Mus musculus: one gene and its partners. The protein of the gene in region 1 interacts with the protein of each later gene in a pairwise test. Links are inferred from orthologs where the notes say so. Each region holds a gene or a part of one and is shown in the gene's direction. Other genes may lie near its edges.

The links.
Region 2: the proteins of Pde6d (region 1) and Arl3 interact in binary tests that used the Homo sapiens proteins (3 or more experiments, as listed by UniProt). The link is inferred for Mus musculus from reciprocal best matches to the Homo sapiens genes PDE6D and ARL3.
Region 3: the proteins of Pde6d (region 1) and Arl15 interact in binary tests that used the Homo sapiens proteins (3 or more experiments, as listed by UniProt). The link is inferred for Mus musculus from reciprocal best matches to the Homo sapiens genes PDE6D and ARL15.
Region 4: the proteins of Pde6d (region 1) and Rap1a interact in a two-hybrid assay, tested with the Homo sapiens proteins (2 studies listed by BioGRID). The link is inferred for Mus musculus from reciprocal best matches to the Homo sapiens genes PDE6D and RAP1A.

Annotation. Positions count from the first base shown.
Region 1 is NC_000067.6:86,544,578-86,548,613, reverse strand, and holds part of Pde6d (retinal rod rhodopsin-sensitive cGMP 3',5'-cyclic phosphodiesterase subunit delta), read left to right. Parts: intron 1-996; coding exon 997-1,085; exon of another isoform or gene 1,086-1,178; intron 1,179-1,831; coding exon 1,832-1,957; intron 1,958-2,806; coding exon 2,807-2,912; intron 2,913-4,036. UniProt on the Homo sapiens protein: Promotes the release of prenylated target proteins from cellular membranes. Modulates the activity of prenylated or palmitoylated Ras family members by regulating their subcellular location.
Region 2 is NC_000085.6:46,541,743-46,545,778, reverse strand, and holds part of Arl3 (ADP-ribosylation factor-like protein 3), read left to right. Parts: intron 1-2,246; coding exon 2,247-2,297; intron 2,298-3,241; coding exon 3,242-3,427; intron 3,428-4,036. UniProt on the Homo sapiens protein: Small GTP-binding protein which cycles between an inactive GDP-bound and an active GTP-bound form, and the rate of cycling is regulated by guanine nucleotide exchange factors (GEF) and GTPase-activating proteins (GAP).
Region 3 is NC_000079.6:113,793,089-113,797,714, forward strand, and holds the start of Arl15 (ADP-ribosylation factor-like protein 15), read left to right. Parts: upstream 1-1,419; 5' UTR 1,420-1,560; coding exon 1,561-1,608; intron 1,609-4,626.
Region 4 is NC_000069.6:105,735,193-105,739,228, reverse strand, and holds part of Rap1a (ras-related protein Rap-1A), read left to right. Parts: intron 1-1,330; coding exon 1,331-1,474; intron 1,475-4,036. UniProt on the Homo sapiens protein: Counteracts the mitogenic function of Ras, at least partly because it can interact with Ras GAPs and RAF in a competitive manner. Together with ITGB1BP1, regulates KRIT1 localization to microtubules and membranes.

The DNA of each region.
Region 1 (4,036 bases):
GTGTTATAGCATGTCTTTCTCATTTTTAAAGATTGCTTCTGTGTGTGCTACTTATGTTGCATGTCTGTGTGTGTCTGTGTGTGTCGGGGGGGGGGGGGGCAGAAGAGAGCATTAGATCACCTGGAGCTGAAGATATTGGCAGTTGTGAGCCGCCCCATATGGGTTCTGTAAGCTGAACTCTGGACCCCTGACAAAAGGTACAACAGACTTTAACCACTGAGCCATCTCTCCAGTGATATCTTTTTATTATTTTTTAATATTCTTTTTTAAAATTTTGCATCTTGATCTGTATTTTTTCTCTTATTTTTTCTTTGTTTTCATAGTAAATGTCTTGATTTCTGATGATTCTTGGCTGACTGGGTTGCGTGTGTATGCCTGTGTGTCTCTCTCCATGTGTACATATGCCACAGTACTTTTGTGGAGGTCAGAGAGGTCAGAGGACATCTACTGGGCATCTGTTCTGCACTTCCACCGTGAGATCTAGAGGTCAAGCTGTCTCCTAACACTTAAAAGGTCTGGGAGAGCTGTGCAGTAGTGAGGGAGGCTCATGAACTGTAACTGTATGGCTTAGTCCTTTGGTGGTACCCTGAGATCTGACCTGTTATATTTTTACCATTTTTTGGCTGATGAGACTCCTCTGACATATTTAGATTTTTTTCACTATTCTTTCTTCTAGCCCTTGCTACCAGTTCTAGTTGCTATCTTTGAGTTCTTTCCTTTCTCTCAATGCTGAGATTTGAAGAAGGGCCTTGAAACTACTAAGCAAGCTCCCCACCACTGAGCTATATCCCAGTTCATGTCTCAGATGTTATGTAACATGGTGTAGATTAAAAACCTCTGGAGTCAGCTGGGCTTGGTGGCGCATGCCTTTAATCCCAGCACTCAGGAGGCAGAGGCAGGCCGATTTCTGAGTTCCAGGCCAGCCTGGTCTACAAAGTGAGTTCCAGGACAGGGATTGTTCTCAGAGCCTCAGTCTCCTTAATCATACTTGATCAGAAATTGGATGAACCTTCGGGATGCCGAAACAGGGAAGATACTCTGGCAAGGAACAGAAGACCTGTCTGTCCCTGGTGTGGAACATGAAGGTACTTTGCAGCCCCTTGAGTGTACAAACTATGCCCACTGCCAGAACAGACCCTGGCATCAAGGAGCTAAGTAAGCACGCAGCTACTAGACAGGTGAGCCCTGCAGGTGAACCGAGAGAACACTTCTTGTTCCATTTTTACATTTCCTTCTCTCACTTCCCAAATCCACCTTAGCTCTGGACCATCCCCAGATCTGGATGTGATGGCATGTTCCTGTAATCCCAGCACTTTGCAGATTGAGACAGAAAGATCAGGAGTTCAAGGCCAGCCTCAGCTATATAGTTAATTTAAAGCCAATCTGGACCACATGAAACCTTGTCTCAAAAAGGAAAGAAAAGGGAAGTTATAATATTTCAACTTTTTCCAGAAGAAAATTTTCATTTTTATCTTTCTGGAGGAAAAAAGGAAAGGTAAATCATTTCAAGAAATCAGAGCATAAAGCAGGCTCTGACAGCTGCACAGAGAGAGGATGTTCATCACAGCCAAAAGCATGGTGAGGCCTGTGGAGACACCTAATCTGGTGTTCCTTGACGACGAGTCTCCTGTGCTGACCAATTAGATCCCTCTGCCTTTAGCTGGAACATAATGCAGTTACCAAGGCGTTTAATGAAAGCTAATTATCCAAACAAATTCTCTAAGGCAGCCAAAGGAACTCCCAGGATCCTGAAGTGTTGTATCTGTGGTTCTCATTTAGAATAGTACCAATCTCTCTCTCTCTCTCTCTCTCTCTCTCTCTCTCTCATCAGCCCGTGTGCCCAAGAAAATCCTCAAGTGCAAGGCAGTGTCTCGAGAATTGAACTTTTCTTCAGCAGAACAAATGGAAAAATTCCGCCTGGAACAAAAAGTTTACTTCAAAGGACAATGCCTAGAAGGTATTCTGCCCCATGTGTGTCTGGAGCTGGGGGGGGGCAGCAGGCAGGCAGTGCTCTGAAAGCACTGACCTTATCACTAATGGACTCTACATTCTACAGCACTGGGAAACCCCAGTGAATACGAACCAAAACAAGACTGGACACCAAGTAAAGTGGGCTTTGAGTTCTCTGATATGAGAAGCCTGGGTGCCCGTACCTGTGCCTGTGCCTGTGCCTGATGTGGTGTTGTTACAATGTGATCTTGGAAGAAGCAGTTTATGATGAAGTGTAGTATAGGGTTGTGTCTATACATCATAAGCTGTGACTGGGAAGGACTCTGAACTGAGTACTCAAAATATCAGAGAACACGTAGACACTGGAGTGCTGCCTACCTCTGATTTACTGCAGAGCTTGCTGCTCCTAAGAAAATGCTGCTTCTAATGTCTCCTTCCCGATCCTTGTCTATTAAACCCATAAGGAACAGCCCAGTGTCCCTGAGTGTAGTCGTGTACGCCTTTAATACGAGCACTCAGGAAGTAGAAGCAGGTGGACCTCTTGTGAGTTTGAGGCCAGCCTGGTCTACAAGTGAGTTCCAGGATAGCCAGAGCTACACAGAGATACCCTGTCTTGAAAAACCAAAAAAGAAAAAAGAAATAAAAGAGAAAAAAAGCCAGCCTGTGGCACAAATCAGAAGAGAGTCTGTGAGTGTCCCTGTGTCCTTTCGTGTAACTCTCTGATTTAGGAGGTATCTGATAGGTTTCTTTTGTGGTTCTGGATAGGGAAAACCCACTCTAAAGGAGAGGGACACAGCCTATAGTTCCCCATGCCCATAAGTAGCACCTGCTCACTGGCTTTTCCTTCTTCCTTCAGAGTGGTTCTTCGAGTTTGGCTTTGTGATCCCTAACTCCACAAACACCTGGCAGTCCTTGATAGAAGCAGCGCCTGAGTCCCAGATGATGCCCGCCAGCGTCCTAACGTGAGTGAGGGCCCAGTAGACTTCAAAATGTATCTTAGAACAGGCATTCAGGCAGGCGGGACTCCAGGTCCTACTCACAGGCAGAAAAGTAGAAAGAACAAACAGGCCGGGCAGTGGTGGCCCACACCTTCAATCCCAGCACTCGGGAGGCAGAGACAGGTGGATTTCTGAGTTCAAAAACAGCCTGGTCTACAAAGTGAGTTCCAGGACAGCCAGGGCTATACAAAAAACCCTGTCTCAAAAAAACAAAAACAAAAAAATTTAAAAATAAAAATAAAAACATTGTCAGTAACTGCCACCTAACCTTTTTCTCTTGGGACAAGATAGAGTCTTTCAAATATTTCAGTAGGCCCGGGGTTGTATTTCAGTGGTAGAGAGCTTGCTTAACATAGGTGAATTCTATGATCTTCACTGCCAAAAGAAAGTCTCAGTATTAGTGTTGCCTAAAAAGTTAAGACCTACATATAATTGTGCCACACTAGTTCATCTGGCAGGAGATACTCCCTGAAAGCCACAGCAAGTGGATAAAAGAGCTATAAAAGGGGCTAGAGAGGTGGCTCTCCAGCTAAGAGTACTGGATGCTCTTCCAGAGGATCCAAGTTTGAGTCCCAGCATTCACAGGCAATTCTCAGCTCTCTGTGGCTCCAGTTCCATGGAACATGAAACCCTCCTCTGGCCTCCACGGGCACCAGGCACATGTGTGTTGCACACAGGCAAAACATCCATACACATAACAATACTTTTTATTCTTAATTTTTTTTGAGACAAGATCTCTATGTAGTCCTGACTATCCTGGAACTCACTCTGTAGACCAGGCTGGCCTCAAACTCAGAGATTTGCCTGTCTCTGCCTTTATCTTCCAAGTCTTGGCATCTTCCACAACACCCAGCCTTAAAATAATTATTTTTTTAAATAAAATATTTTTTAAACCCTCAAAGGGATTTGATATGGCAACAGTATTCCGTTTTATAGATGGGAGCATTCATGGCTCAGTGGGAGTGTTCTTGCCTGAATGCACAGGGTCCTAGGCTCAGTTTCTGGCACAGCCACGGAGATAACCATCTAACCAGAAAAGTAAATGCCATCACTCACTGGACAGGTGCCTCGTGTAAGGCTCTTTGGTT
Region 2 (4,036 bases), on another chromosome or scaffold:
TGATCCTTCTGCCTCAGCCTCCCAAACAGTGAGAACCCAGGTGTCTATCACCAAGTTCACTAAGTAACAATGTTATTTTCATAAAGTTTTTAAAAAACATGCCAGGTGGTGAGGGGCACACCTTTTTTTTTTTTTTTTTTTTTTTAAAGATTTATTTATTTATTATATGTAAGTACACTGTAGCTGTCTTCAGACACTCCAGAAGAGGGAGTCAGATCTCGTTAGGGATGGTTGTGAGCCACCATGTGGTTGCTGGGATTTGAACTCTGGACCTTTGGAAGAGCAGTCGGGTGCTCTTACCCACTGAGCCATCTCACCAGCCCAGGGGACACACCTTTAATCCCAGCACTTTGAAGAGGTGGTCAAATCTTTTGATTCAAGGCCAGCCTAGTCTACAAAGAGAGTTCCAGGACAGCCAGGGTTAGACAGAAACTCTGTCTTGGAAAAAAAAAAAAAAGGGTGCTAGAGAGGTGTTTCTGTGGCTGAAAGTCCTGACTGCTCTTGTAGAGGCCCTCGGTTCATGTACCAGCACTCACCTGGTGACTCACAACCTCTCTAACTCCAGTCCTAGGAGATCCACCACCCTCTTCTGGCCTCTGTGGGACATGCTATACGACATGGCCTGTGCAGACAAAACACCCATGCATATAAAAGAAATAAAATGCTTAAAAAGTACAAAGTTTTTTTCCAATTTTCTTTTTAAATGTGTATATGAAGAATTAGGAAAGAACTTCTCTTTTCTTCAAGACAGGTCTCACTAGGAGTGAGTTAAAATTAGCTTAGCCTGGCCTCATTCTCAGCAATCCTCCTGCCTCAGCCCCTAACATGCTGGAATTACAAACTTGAGCTACCACACCTGATGGGGTGGAGCCTTTTGTAGAATATTTGTTTGACTGGTTGTTTGGATGGTTTTTCAAAACAGGGTCTCTCTGTGTAACTGGCCTGCCTATGCTGGAACTTAGATCAGTCTGGTGGGACAGGGCCTTCTGTAGGATATCTATCTGTCTGTCTATCTGTCTTTCTATCTGTTTGGTTTTGCAAGACGGGATTTCTCTCTATACAAAAGTCCTGGCTGTCCTGGAACTTACTGTAGGATATTAATCAATCCATCTATCTATCTATCCATCTATCTATCTATCTATCATCTATCTATCTATCTATCTATCTATCTATCTATCTATCTATCTATCTAGATATTGGTTTTTCAAGGCACAGTCTCTCTGTTTAACAGTCCCAGCTGACTTGGAACTTACTATGTAGACTAGGCTAGCCTTGAACTCACAAAGATCCATCTGTCTCTGCTTCCAGAGTTCTGATTTTTCAAGACATGGCCTCTCTGTGTAACAGTCCTGGCTGTCCTGGAACTTACTGTGTAGACCAGGCTGGCTTTAAACTCACAAAGATCCTCCTGCCTCTGCCCCATGCCCACTGCTTTCTGTAGGAGGTTTAAATTGCCAGTGTTTTTAGAAGCTGTGACTATGGATGGTTTTTTATTCTCTTTTTAAAACGTTATTTTCCTTACTGTTATGTAACTAAAACTCATGGGTAGAGGGGGAAGCTTCAAATTTATAACTTACAATGAGTCTCGAATTTTCTTTCTGCTGGGAAAGCTGAGGTGAGTACTCACGTAGCAGTCACGTAAAGCTCTGAGTTCAATCCCCAGCACCCCTTAAAACACACCGAGACCCAGCAAGCAGAGGGAAGTTCAAAATTCCAGGGGCATCCTTGACTACAAAGCCAGTTCAGGGCCAGCCTGGACTACATGATACCCTGACGCAAAACAAACAAACAAAACAACGACATTAACTTCTAGTATAGCTTGTCCTTCTATTTCTAGACTTCCCTTGACATCACAGCAGCATGTGGTGATGATAGCAATGAACAAATAACTGTCCCTTGTCATGGTCCCAAAGTCAGCCTAGAAGTAATGCTGAAGCAGTGTTGTCAGAGAAGAGACACCCCAGAAGTGTAGGATTGCAGGTGCCCCCAAACACCCAACACATCCCCGGGGGCTCCCTCCAGGGTTAATCCCTGGGTTTCTGGGCTCCCCCCTGGTGTGTTTTCCCAGCATCCTTAGTTCATGCATTCGGTTTTCTTGCTCCACAGGTGAAGTGAGCTGAGGCCAGGCTGTTTGCATTTGTTGGGTTAATCTGAACTCTCTTGACTGAGGACCAGTTTTTTTTTAAAGTTGCCCCTTCTCTTTCTGTCTCTGTGTATTAAAGTAACATTCTGGTTTTCTATTGCAGATCTATGTAATTGACAGTGCCGACAGAAAGAGATTTGAAGAGACGGGTCAGGTAAATGCTTTATGTGTTGACCCTTCCCTAAACCCCAGCGCTCATCAATCCACCTGGAAGTGTATGTGAGGGACAGGAGTGCCTTTTGTTAACTATTACAGACCCGGAAGAGGCTCACTCTGGTGAGCAGGCGAAAATACAACTGTCCAAAAAGAAATTAGTTGGGAGTCTTTCACAATGTCGTTTGGTGAAGTCCTTTTAGCTTGATCAAATTGAATATAAAAAAATCTAAGCAAGTGGAACTTTGCACCACACCCCAAAGCCCTTCTGTGTGTCTTCCCAGACCACGTAGGAATGAACTCAGGGACACTACACTGAGCACTTCTGGTTATACTTTTCCATCCTTAATTGACCAGGAGTACTTGATCAAACACTGGCAAATTCAGAAGGGTGAGAAGAAAAACACAAGCCAAAACTCAGCTTCTTTTTCTCACGCCGGGAAACAAGATCAGCCTTGAACTCAAATACGGCTTTAACTGCAGGGTGCATGTCAATATGTTTAGATGATACGGTCTGTGTATACAGTCATACACAGAGCAGCCTGGGGCCTCGACCATTGGACCCAGATGAGGCCACCCCCAGGAGCAGCGAGGATAGAGGGAATCTTTAGAGAGCCATGTTTGGATCTCGGTGCAGAAAGTTTGCCCTGTATCCAATGGCTGAAGATCCCGGGTTTCTGCTTCTTTGTCCTGGGAAGTGGGTTGAGGCTTTCCAGAGTGCTGGCTCTAACTTTCTATAGTCAGAATTCCTAGTTTGAGCCCAGAAATTTGCTAGGGAATCTTCCAAAGGTACAAGCCTGAGATCTCTACCTTAAAGTTGCTGCTGATCAACCTAACAGCTTAGTGTGCTATGATTCCAAGTGTGGCGTGCGCTCACGTGTCATGGTTGTCAAGCTTCTCTCTCTCTTCTCCCTCCCCCCTCCCCCCCCAAAAAAAATGGTCCAGGAACTAACGGAATTACTGGAGGAAGAAAAGCTGAGTTGTGTGCCCGTGCTCATCTTTGCTAACAAGCAGGACCTGCTCACGGCAGCCCCAGCCTCCGAGATCGCAGAAGGGCTAAACCTCCACACCATCCGGGACCGCGTCTGGCAGATCCAGTCCTGTTCAGCGCTCACAGGCGAGGGCGTCCAGGTGAGATGGTGGCAAGGCTTCGCTTCCTGTCCACATGGCAGCTCCCTGAAGCATCTGCCTCACTGGCAGATCCCTGTGGGGTTTTAAGATCATTGGAAAAAATGGATGTTTTCATTACGATTCATAACAGTAGCAAAATTACCGTTATGAAGTAGCAATGAAATATTTTTATGGTTGGGGGTCACCACAACATGAAGAACTATATTAAAGGGCCGCAGCATTAGGAAGGCTGAGAACCCCTGGTCTTTATAGAAAAAGATGTGAAGCAAATGGCCTCATACCATGAAGTGCTCTGCAGGAGGGGCAGCCCTGTGCCTTCAGCTTACTGTCCTAACCTGGGGAGCCCCGAGGAAGTGACTCTAAGTTGCTGGATACTTGTGTCTGCATCCTGTGTTGGGTCTAAGACTATGGATGCTAAAAGCCTGTTCTCCTAGGTGATTGCCATCAGCAATCATACAAACGCTAACTGGCCTGGAAATATCTCTGTTTCTCCTCTTAGTTCTCTCCCTGCCCTTGGGCTTGGTGTCTGTTTCAAGCTTCTGGTATCTTTTTCCCACTGGGGGTTGGGGTGGCTTCTGTGGACACAAAGCCCTGGGCCATATGCTGAGG
Region 3 (4,626 bases), on another chromosome or scaffold:
GCCTTTATTGATATAATTTTCAAGATATATGTGTTTAAGTAATAACTTCTTAAAAGGAGTTGTTCTGTTTTGTTTTGTTTTACTCCAGGGTTAGTAAGTCTCAGTTGCACTAAGCCAGTAGATTCAATTTTGATTTTTATTTTCTTGCCATTCTATATTTTACTCCTCTCCATACCCAACTCCAAATGGCATGCTTATCTTGTCTCACCTTTGCCTTGACTGTCCTTTCTAGCCTGAATCTTGGAGGTGAAAGAAAAAAAATCCAGAACTGACCGTTGTCTTTATCTCGCTTGACTCCCATTTTCACTCAATTCCAAGTAATTCTTTTTTAAAAAAATTTTAAAATTTTTCTATTTTTTATTTTTTGGTTTTTCGAGACAGGGTTTCTCTGTATTTCTCTGGCTGTCCTGGAACTCACTCTGTAGACCAGGCTGGCCTCGAACTCAGAAATCCGCCTGCCTCTCTGCCTCCCAAGTGCTGGGATCAAAGGCGTGCACCACCACTGCCCGGGCCCCAAGTTTGTTTGTTTGTTTTTTTGAGACAGGGTTTCTCTGGATTTCTCTGTGTAGCCCTGGCTGTCCTGGAATTCGTTCTGTAGACCAGGCTGGCCTCGAACTCAGAAATCCACCTGCCTCTGCCTCCCAAGTGCTGGGATTAAAGGCGTGCGCCACCACCGCCCGGCTTGCTTTTTTTTTTCTTTTTTTCTTTTTTTTTTTTTTAATTTAGGAAACGCACAAGTCTCAAGTGCACCGGCTCTGTTTTTCCTAAGATAAGGTTCACAAACAGTATTACTTGGGTCCTTTAGAGGACTTTCACAATCCCACCGCTCATTCTATTCAGGTACATTGGATTAAGCATGCAAAGATCAGATGCCTGTCTCCTTCAATGTTTGGGGTGATCAATTTACTTGTGAGTCTCTAGGTTCCTAGTCTGGACTGCACTGGTGCTGAGCCGCAGGAAGGTCAAGTTCAAGTTGTCCGCCGTAGCAGACACCCACACCCTGGAGGGTCAATGCAGTCCCCAGTACTGCACAGTTTGCCTTCTTTAAGGTGTCTGCCCTTCTAATCCGCAGGTCCAGGGCGTTTCAAGGCCACAGGAAGGCGCTCGGGGCAACTGCCTCCCACCGCCCTGGGCTGCTTTCTTAAGGAGGGGTGGGCGGGGACGCCGCCGCCGCTGCTCTTCAATCTCAGGCAGGCTGCTTGCCGGGTCTCGAGCGGACTAGAGGCTGAGAGTCGGCCTCCCGGGGCCGCAGCGCGTTTCCGCCCGCCCCTCCCCCAGCAAACAGGAACCAGCACCGTCCCGGGTCCCGCGCTTCTCTGCTGCCCTCCACCGGGGGGACTGCCTTTTATAGACACTCCGGCCAATGAGCGCGCTCCTTTTCCTCGGCCCGCCCTCCCAGCCAATCGTCGCTTCCCTGGTGTAATCTTCGGCTCCTCGGCTGCTCTCGGCGATCTTCGCTGTTGCTGGCTTTTTCAGGAGCTGCTCGCTGGCAGCCCGAGACGCTGCTGCTTTTTTTTTTTTTCCGGGTTCGGAGCCATTCCGGATGCTTTAGGCTGCCGGATGTCTGATCTCCGGATAACTGAGGCGTTTCTGTACATGGATTATCTGGTAGGTGCGGGGCGCCGGCGGCATGTCGCCTCTCGGATCTCGCGGTGGCCCATGGCCCCCTGCCTGGAGCAGCAGCCTCTCGGCTTTCTTTCTTTGGGATGGGATGCCTTGGGTTGCTTTCTCCCGGGGCTGGCTCTGAGGGGCGGCGGCGGGGGGAGAGGACGGGCTGACAGGTAAAGGCGCGGAGGGGACCGGCGGGACTGCGGGAGATGGGGCCACGCTCCGCGCGCCTCTCCGCGCTCCCGGCGCAGGACTTTCTTTCCGGGGAAGCTGGAGTTTTCCGCTCTCCTCTTAGCAGAACTCCAAGAGCTATTAAAGAGCCATAAGCAGAATGGCTCGCTAAGTGCCTGGCAGGTCCGGTCATTTGGTCGTTATTAGATCTCTAAAGGAATGACCTGGGTCGTGGCGGGATTTTAAAAACACATTACCAGAAAGTAGACTGGACTAAACCACATTGCAACCCGGCCTGAGCAGGATTGGGCAGGGACAGGCATTGCCCCGCGGCTGTGGTTGTGGTGCACGCCGCTTTTGTGCATGGTGTGCATGGTTTGGCAATCGGTTTGAGATCAGCCCCGTGCTGGGAAGTTTAGGTAGGAAAAGTTTTTTTAGCACAGCGCTGGAACGGAACACTTAGACGTGTTTCTAGAATTGTGCAAGCCTCGTGTTTTCGTTCCAGAAATTGTATTTCCACAGAGCTGCCTGTTTGTGGTCAAGCAGATCCTTTTTGACATGAACCGTGTTCGATCCTGCCCATTTTCTGCGTGGATGGTGTCAGAACGAACGGCTGTTGCCATGCAGTGCTGAAGTAGAGGGTTAGAAGTGTTGGCCCTTCTGTCATCCTGTAGGACACATGGTTTTTCCACTGCAGATTGGCCTAGCAGAGATTTGTCAGTGCCTTCTAGGAATTACACTTAAGGCTGTACGGAGAAAGACCGAATACTTTCCAGACCAAGAAAGAGAGGGCTGCGTTGTAACGTTACCAGTGTATGAGGGTTTATTCAGGTGTGTAGAAACTGGCAAGGATGGAGACCAGTTAGTGCGCGACCTTGAGAACAGAGCCGAAGTCAGAGTCTCAGTTGAATTTTGGTTTTGCTGTCTATGTATTCATGGCAGTGACTTCTATCTTTGTCATAAAGGGGTGTTATCGCTGCGCCAGGTTAGGTGGGCTATCTGTGAACATTCTTTAAGCGTCCTTGTAGGTTGATGATTCTCAAATATGTCCAGGAGGCTATTTTGAAAGTTAAATGGTTGGTTGATTTGTAGTTTACCCATATCATGCTATGGCTATGTCTTGTAATCTGCCCCACAAAACGCCAGTTTGCTGAGAAAAAAAAATTACCAAATAAGAAGAAAGTATAGGGCATCTTACCTGTACTGCTAATTTTGGATACTTAGTGATTCGGAGAGGTATTCGGGGCGGGGGGTGGGGGGTGGGGTGGGGTGGATTCTCATGATCTGCTGAGACTGTTGTAGTACTTCAGCACATAGCTGTCTTTGAGGTAGCAGGCCCACTAAAAGACCTGAGGGAAAACAGCATTGCAGATTGCTCAGGTCACCTGCCATGTAGACATGGGTTCAGAGTAGATGGATGAATATTTGTAGGTATAAGGTTACCCTGGGAGTTTAGGTCATTGTCACTGGGCCCTGGGTTTCACTTTGACTTGGCCCATCTGTTTTACCTGTTTCCCTAACACCTTTTTTTGGCTTTCGTATAAAATCATTGTTTGGCCACTTCAGTGTGCTTTCAATAATTCCCAAGTGCCTTGAAGCTAACTGTCCCGTAAAAGTCAGGGGCTATACTGGAGGTGGGGTGGGGGAGAAAACAAAGTCTTAAAGGAGACAGGTCAGGTTTTATGAGTGTGTTAGGTATCCCTGTGAAAACACTGAAGAAAGTCCTTCCCCACTAAATGGACCAGAGGGGAAACAAAACAAACTCTGGAGTTCGAGAGGTTGCTTTACTGTGCTTTCCCGCTGACCCACTCGCAGAGAAAACCGTGAGATACATCGCTCCATTCTCCTTGTCTACCAGGTGGCTTGTTTGCTCATGCGAAATCTTGGCATGGTGTCTGTTTAAAATCCTGTTTCTGAAAAAGTAAAGGATCGATTTCTTTGATTGGGCCTGGCATCTTATTAATCGATTCCTAAGTTCCTATATTTCCCTTCCAGGAGGGGCTGGGGATGTTTCTTTCATTCCTAGTTGGACTGCAGGTTTTGCAGAGTGGACTAGAGTGAGTGCCCTCTTCATGCCCCTGTCAGGAGTAATGTGTGCCCTCCCTCCATCCTTTCTTCTCCAGTGCTGGGATTTTTGTTGTTATGTCAGAAAGGAAAGCTCTACGTGGAGGTGTTAGCCATTGTCCTTTATTTGGGTGCTATCACTTAACTTATTTTATTTGGGGGAGAGTCTAAAGGAAGTGTGTGTGCGTGTGCTTGAGTGTGTGTGCATGCTATTTTTAACAACTTCTGATAGCACTGAAATGGTAAGACAGATGAAGAAAGCTCTCTGATCTTAGAAGTTGCAGTTAATTTCTTGACTATTCTTGTGACAGCTAAGATGAAGGCTCTGTCTTAATATTTAAGACGGAGGTTTTATTAATCTTGGTTCAGGGAAAGAGGGATGCCTTGCAAATCCTAAATAATTACATGTTACACCGGTTACTGTACCTGGCTTGGTGCCTGGCATGGAGTTAGAGCCCGGGATTGCATGATGATGAGTGGATGCGGGACCTGAGAGGTAATTCTGTCCTCTTCTGGCTTCTAAACTGAGCCAAGATAGTATCTGTTTGGATTAGGTATTTTGATTTTTGGAATGCAGGATGTATCTTTTACACTCAAGATAATCAAGATAGAATTTGTTTAGCAATTTAAACATAAAAGTCTTATCTTTTCTAGATAATGCGGGTGTCACCGGAGGAGGCCATATCTCTTCCCCTTTTCTCTTGAGCAAGTTTATAAGTCATGTTCTAAACCAGACCGATCTATGGTTCAGGATTTAGGCGTCACCAACAGACAGCATACCCC
Region 4 (4,036 bases), on another chromosome or scaffold:
TGAGACATTTTCAAAGAGCCATAAGATGAGTGTTGCTGTTTCTAAAATTCTTTCCATACATGTTCTTTGGATTGCTTTGCTGTTTTAACACAGTATCTTGCTATATAAAGTAGGCTAGCCTTAGGTACTTAATTTTTCTGTCTCCACCTTCTAAATACTGGGATTATAGTCATATGCTACCTTTGTTGGTAGCATATGCTTTTTGCTTACCTTTGTAAAAAAAAAATATATTGTATATGTTTACATCACCTGGAACTTATGGGGAAATTCCTTTTGCATTATATAAATTAAGATAGAAATTTTCAGTTACACATTCCTGGTTTTGTGTGTGTGTGTGTGTGTGTGTGTGTGTGTGTTTTCTAATGGGAGCATGTACAACTTCTCAGGACCTTAATCTTGGTAACATTGTTGGTAGGAGGAATAGGTGCCATATGACTCCATGACTGCCTTAATGAATAGTTGTCTTCCTTGCTTTATCCAGAGAGTTCTGTTTCATAACACACAGATCAGTGAGTTCTGAAAATGTTAATCCCCTTTACTCCGTCAGTAAAAGAAGAAAGATGCCTAGACTGTTTAATGTAACCTGTTTTGGGTAAAAGGTTCATCACATCCCGAACGTTCTTTTTGTGTGTAGTACGTTGCCTTACAACCTTCTGGCTTTGTTCTCTGAACATTTAGCTGAAGAACCTAACACAGTTTGTTAGCTGAATGTTTTATTGGAAGTAGGATGTTGTGTTAAAGACAGTCAAACATCTGTGGTATGGAGTGACAGGAAAGACACAGCTGCTTGTTGTGTCTTCCGCTTGTTAAGGGGTGTCCAGGGAGGCTGAAAGCGGATGTTAGAGTCCCTGGAGCTGGAGTTACAGGTGATTGTGAGCCATCTGATGTGAATGTTGGAAACTGAACTCAGGTCCTCTAGAAGAGCAGCAAATGCTCTTGACCACTGAGTTGTCTCTTCAACTCCTATTTTTATTCTTTATTATTAAGGAATGGAGAGATGGCTCAGTAGTTAACACTTGCTGTCCTCCCAAAGGACCAGGGTTCAATGCTCAGTACCCACATAGTAGTTCACAGTCCTCTGTAGCTCTTTTGGCCTCCCCGGGCACCACACATGAACATGGTGCATTGCATTCATACACTACATTAAGAAAAAATGGAATCATATTCTTTATAATAATTGGTGTGTGAGTCCAGTAGGAGTTCACTATTTTTGGCCCCTCTCTCTGCCTTCCATTCTCCTTCTGTCCTGAGCAACCACAACACACAGCACCTGGAATCACTTAGTGATATATACAGTTGCAAACTGCTGTGTTCTTTTTCCTTCCTGCAGGTTCCAATGATTTTGGTTGGCAATAAATGTGACTTGGAAGATGAACGGGTAGTTGGCAAAGAACAAGGCCAGAATTTAGCAAGACAGTGGTGTAACTGTGCCTTTTTAGAATCTTCTGCAAAGTCAAAGATCAACGTTAATGAGGTAACCTGCAACCGTTGGACAGTGTAAACAAGTGCCTTTTTATTTTCATAGCCAGAAGTTTTCAGAAAAAATAAAAATCTCAATTTTACCACCTTGTAGAAAATAGTAATTTCTAGACACTGTGTTCTTTGGCTTCCATGACATCATTCTCTTAAGAGTTTCAGTGCAGACACCTAATGTTACCTTATTGTCACAGGCTGCATATAAAATCCTGCTAAAACTTTTAAGTGATATGCCAGTGCTAGCATTTGAAACTTGACCCAGCACTTTTTATTATAAGTTACTTATTCAGTTGAATATAAATAGGTGGTAAAGTCCAATAGAACAGTAAAAAAAAAATTAAAAGTTGCCATTATAATGAGCCTTCGTTATAAAATACCATCATAGAATTTGATTTTGATTCTTGCTCCTATTTTTTTCTTGCTCCTTTTGATGCATGCCTAAGTGTGGTCTGTGTGAGCAAACGTGTAAGTCAAACCACTCAGTCCTTCAGATTGGGAGTCGGGATGCGCGTGTGTCTAATTTGAGCACCTCACTATTTAAGATCTTAACTACGGTCCAGAAGGCTTTGCAAATAATCTTATGTGCCTCATTTTAAAAAGGCAATAGTTGACCGAGCCCCCAAAAATTAGTTCATTTCCCAAATTGCTAACACCAATCAGGCACATCCATGAGAGTTCTTTTGCTTTTGGAACTTTTTTTTTAATTGGGTATTTTATTTACATTTCAAAGGTTATCCCCTTTCCTGGGTTCCCTCCCTCCTCAAAACACTCTATCACACCCTCCCTCCCCCTGCTTCTATGAGGGTGTTCCTCCACCCACCCACCCACTCCCACCTCCCTGCCTACAATGGCTCTACACCGGGGCATAGAGCCTTCACAGGACCAATGACCTCTCCTTCCACTGATGCATGACAAGGCCATCCTCTACTACAGATGCAGCTGGAGCCATGTGTACTACTATGTTGTTTACCAAAATCATTTGCAATAAATGGTGCAGAAAGGCCGAGTAAGCCTCTTTTTTCCTTCTCTGGCTGATGCACTTGCCATTGTAGTGTCGCAGGTACCTGGACACAGGTGAGAATAAGAGAAGGCTTGCTCATCAAGGCTGGGGTTGCACTTCTCTGGCCTCTGGTTCTGTAAATCATTTTTCAGGACTGTGCTTGTAGAATATTATTTTAAACATCTGGTAAGGAAAAAAAGTCAGCTTACTATATATTCTGTTTCTTATCATAATCAAGAATGCTAAAGCTTGCTTTTTTTAGGTGAAACCACTTTTAACAAATACAAAAATCTTTTAATTCCACTTACCTGGCAAACACATTGAGTACCTGTAGTATGCCTGGCACTTCATTCTGTACCCAAGTGGCAGTCATCCAGACAGAACGATTTCAGCCATTAAGAGGTTTACATCCTAGTTGAGGAACCAGTCCTACTGAGCCCTGCCATACAGTTATTTGTTATTCACTGCTAGGTCAGTGAGAAGAAATTGAGAGCTGTCACTCATCCTCTTTTGTTATAGAATTAGAATTTCCTAGAGGTTGTTTTTAAAATATGGCTGTAATAAAATTTTAATGTTTAATATAGTATTTTTTGAAAACATGAATGAGCAAGAAAAGGACCCAGATATAGTGGCATGCACTTGTCATCCCAGCAGTCTGGAGGTCAAGGCAGGACTGGGAGTTCTAGGCCAGCCTGCACTATATATCACAAGACCCAACTAAAGTGAGCTGAGAATACTTTAATGAAGAATACATTACAGTTGGTGAATGCCCCTGGGTCGTAGAGTTGTAGTGCAGTGTCACCTTATGAAGGATGATTTGGCCTTTGGAATCTGGTTCCTTACTTTGTCTGTCACCCTCACTGCTATCCACCTTCCACGTTCATCAAATGTGCAGAGCTGAGTTGGACCAGAGTTCTATCACACAAGACCTCTCCCTGTAGGAGCCAGAGTTTAGTAGGGAGAAAGTAAGTATTCCTCGTCTTTTATCTTTACAAGATTGTGGGATCCCACACAGGCTATTAAACCCCCTGGGTTGCAGTTTCTAATGCAGCAGAATTGACTTATTCATGGTGTCTTGTTCAAGCTTTACATAGGGGTTTAAAAAACAATATAAAGTGCCATAGTCATCATAATAGTCTCCACTTCTTTGAGAAACCACACAGACTACATGCTAGAAATGAGAGTATAATTTGAGGTATTTGTTTTTTTAAGATCTCACTCTTCATAGCCTAATAATTCAGCTGCAAAATTCCTTGAATAGTTGGTGGTTTTTCAGACCACTCAAACTGCTGTTCTAATGCTTGTATGGTTTCTGAATGCATGAAGATAGGGGAATAATAATTTCACAAGATTCAGCTCTTGACTTTAAATTTGCAACAGATAGGGACACAGTGCTTGGCCAGAGCCCTCTAATTCTCTCTATTCTACAAGTATCAATCAGTGCACTGGAAATACCTCAATCTTAGCCCCAAATTTCTTGTTCTTTGCTGAGGCTAGAGTAATGATTGGAATAAAGACATCCCAATTAGGAATGGGAGAGGGGTTGAGAAACTCTATTCT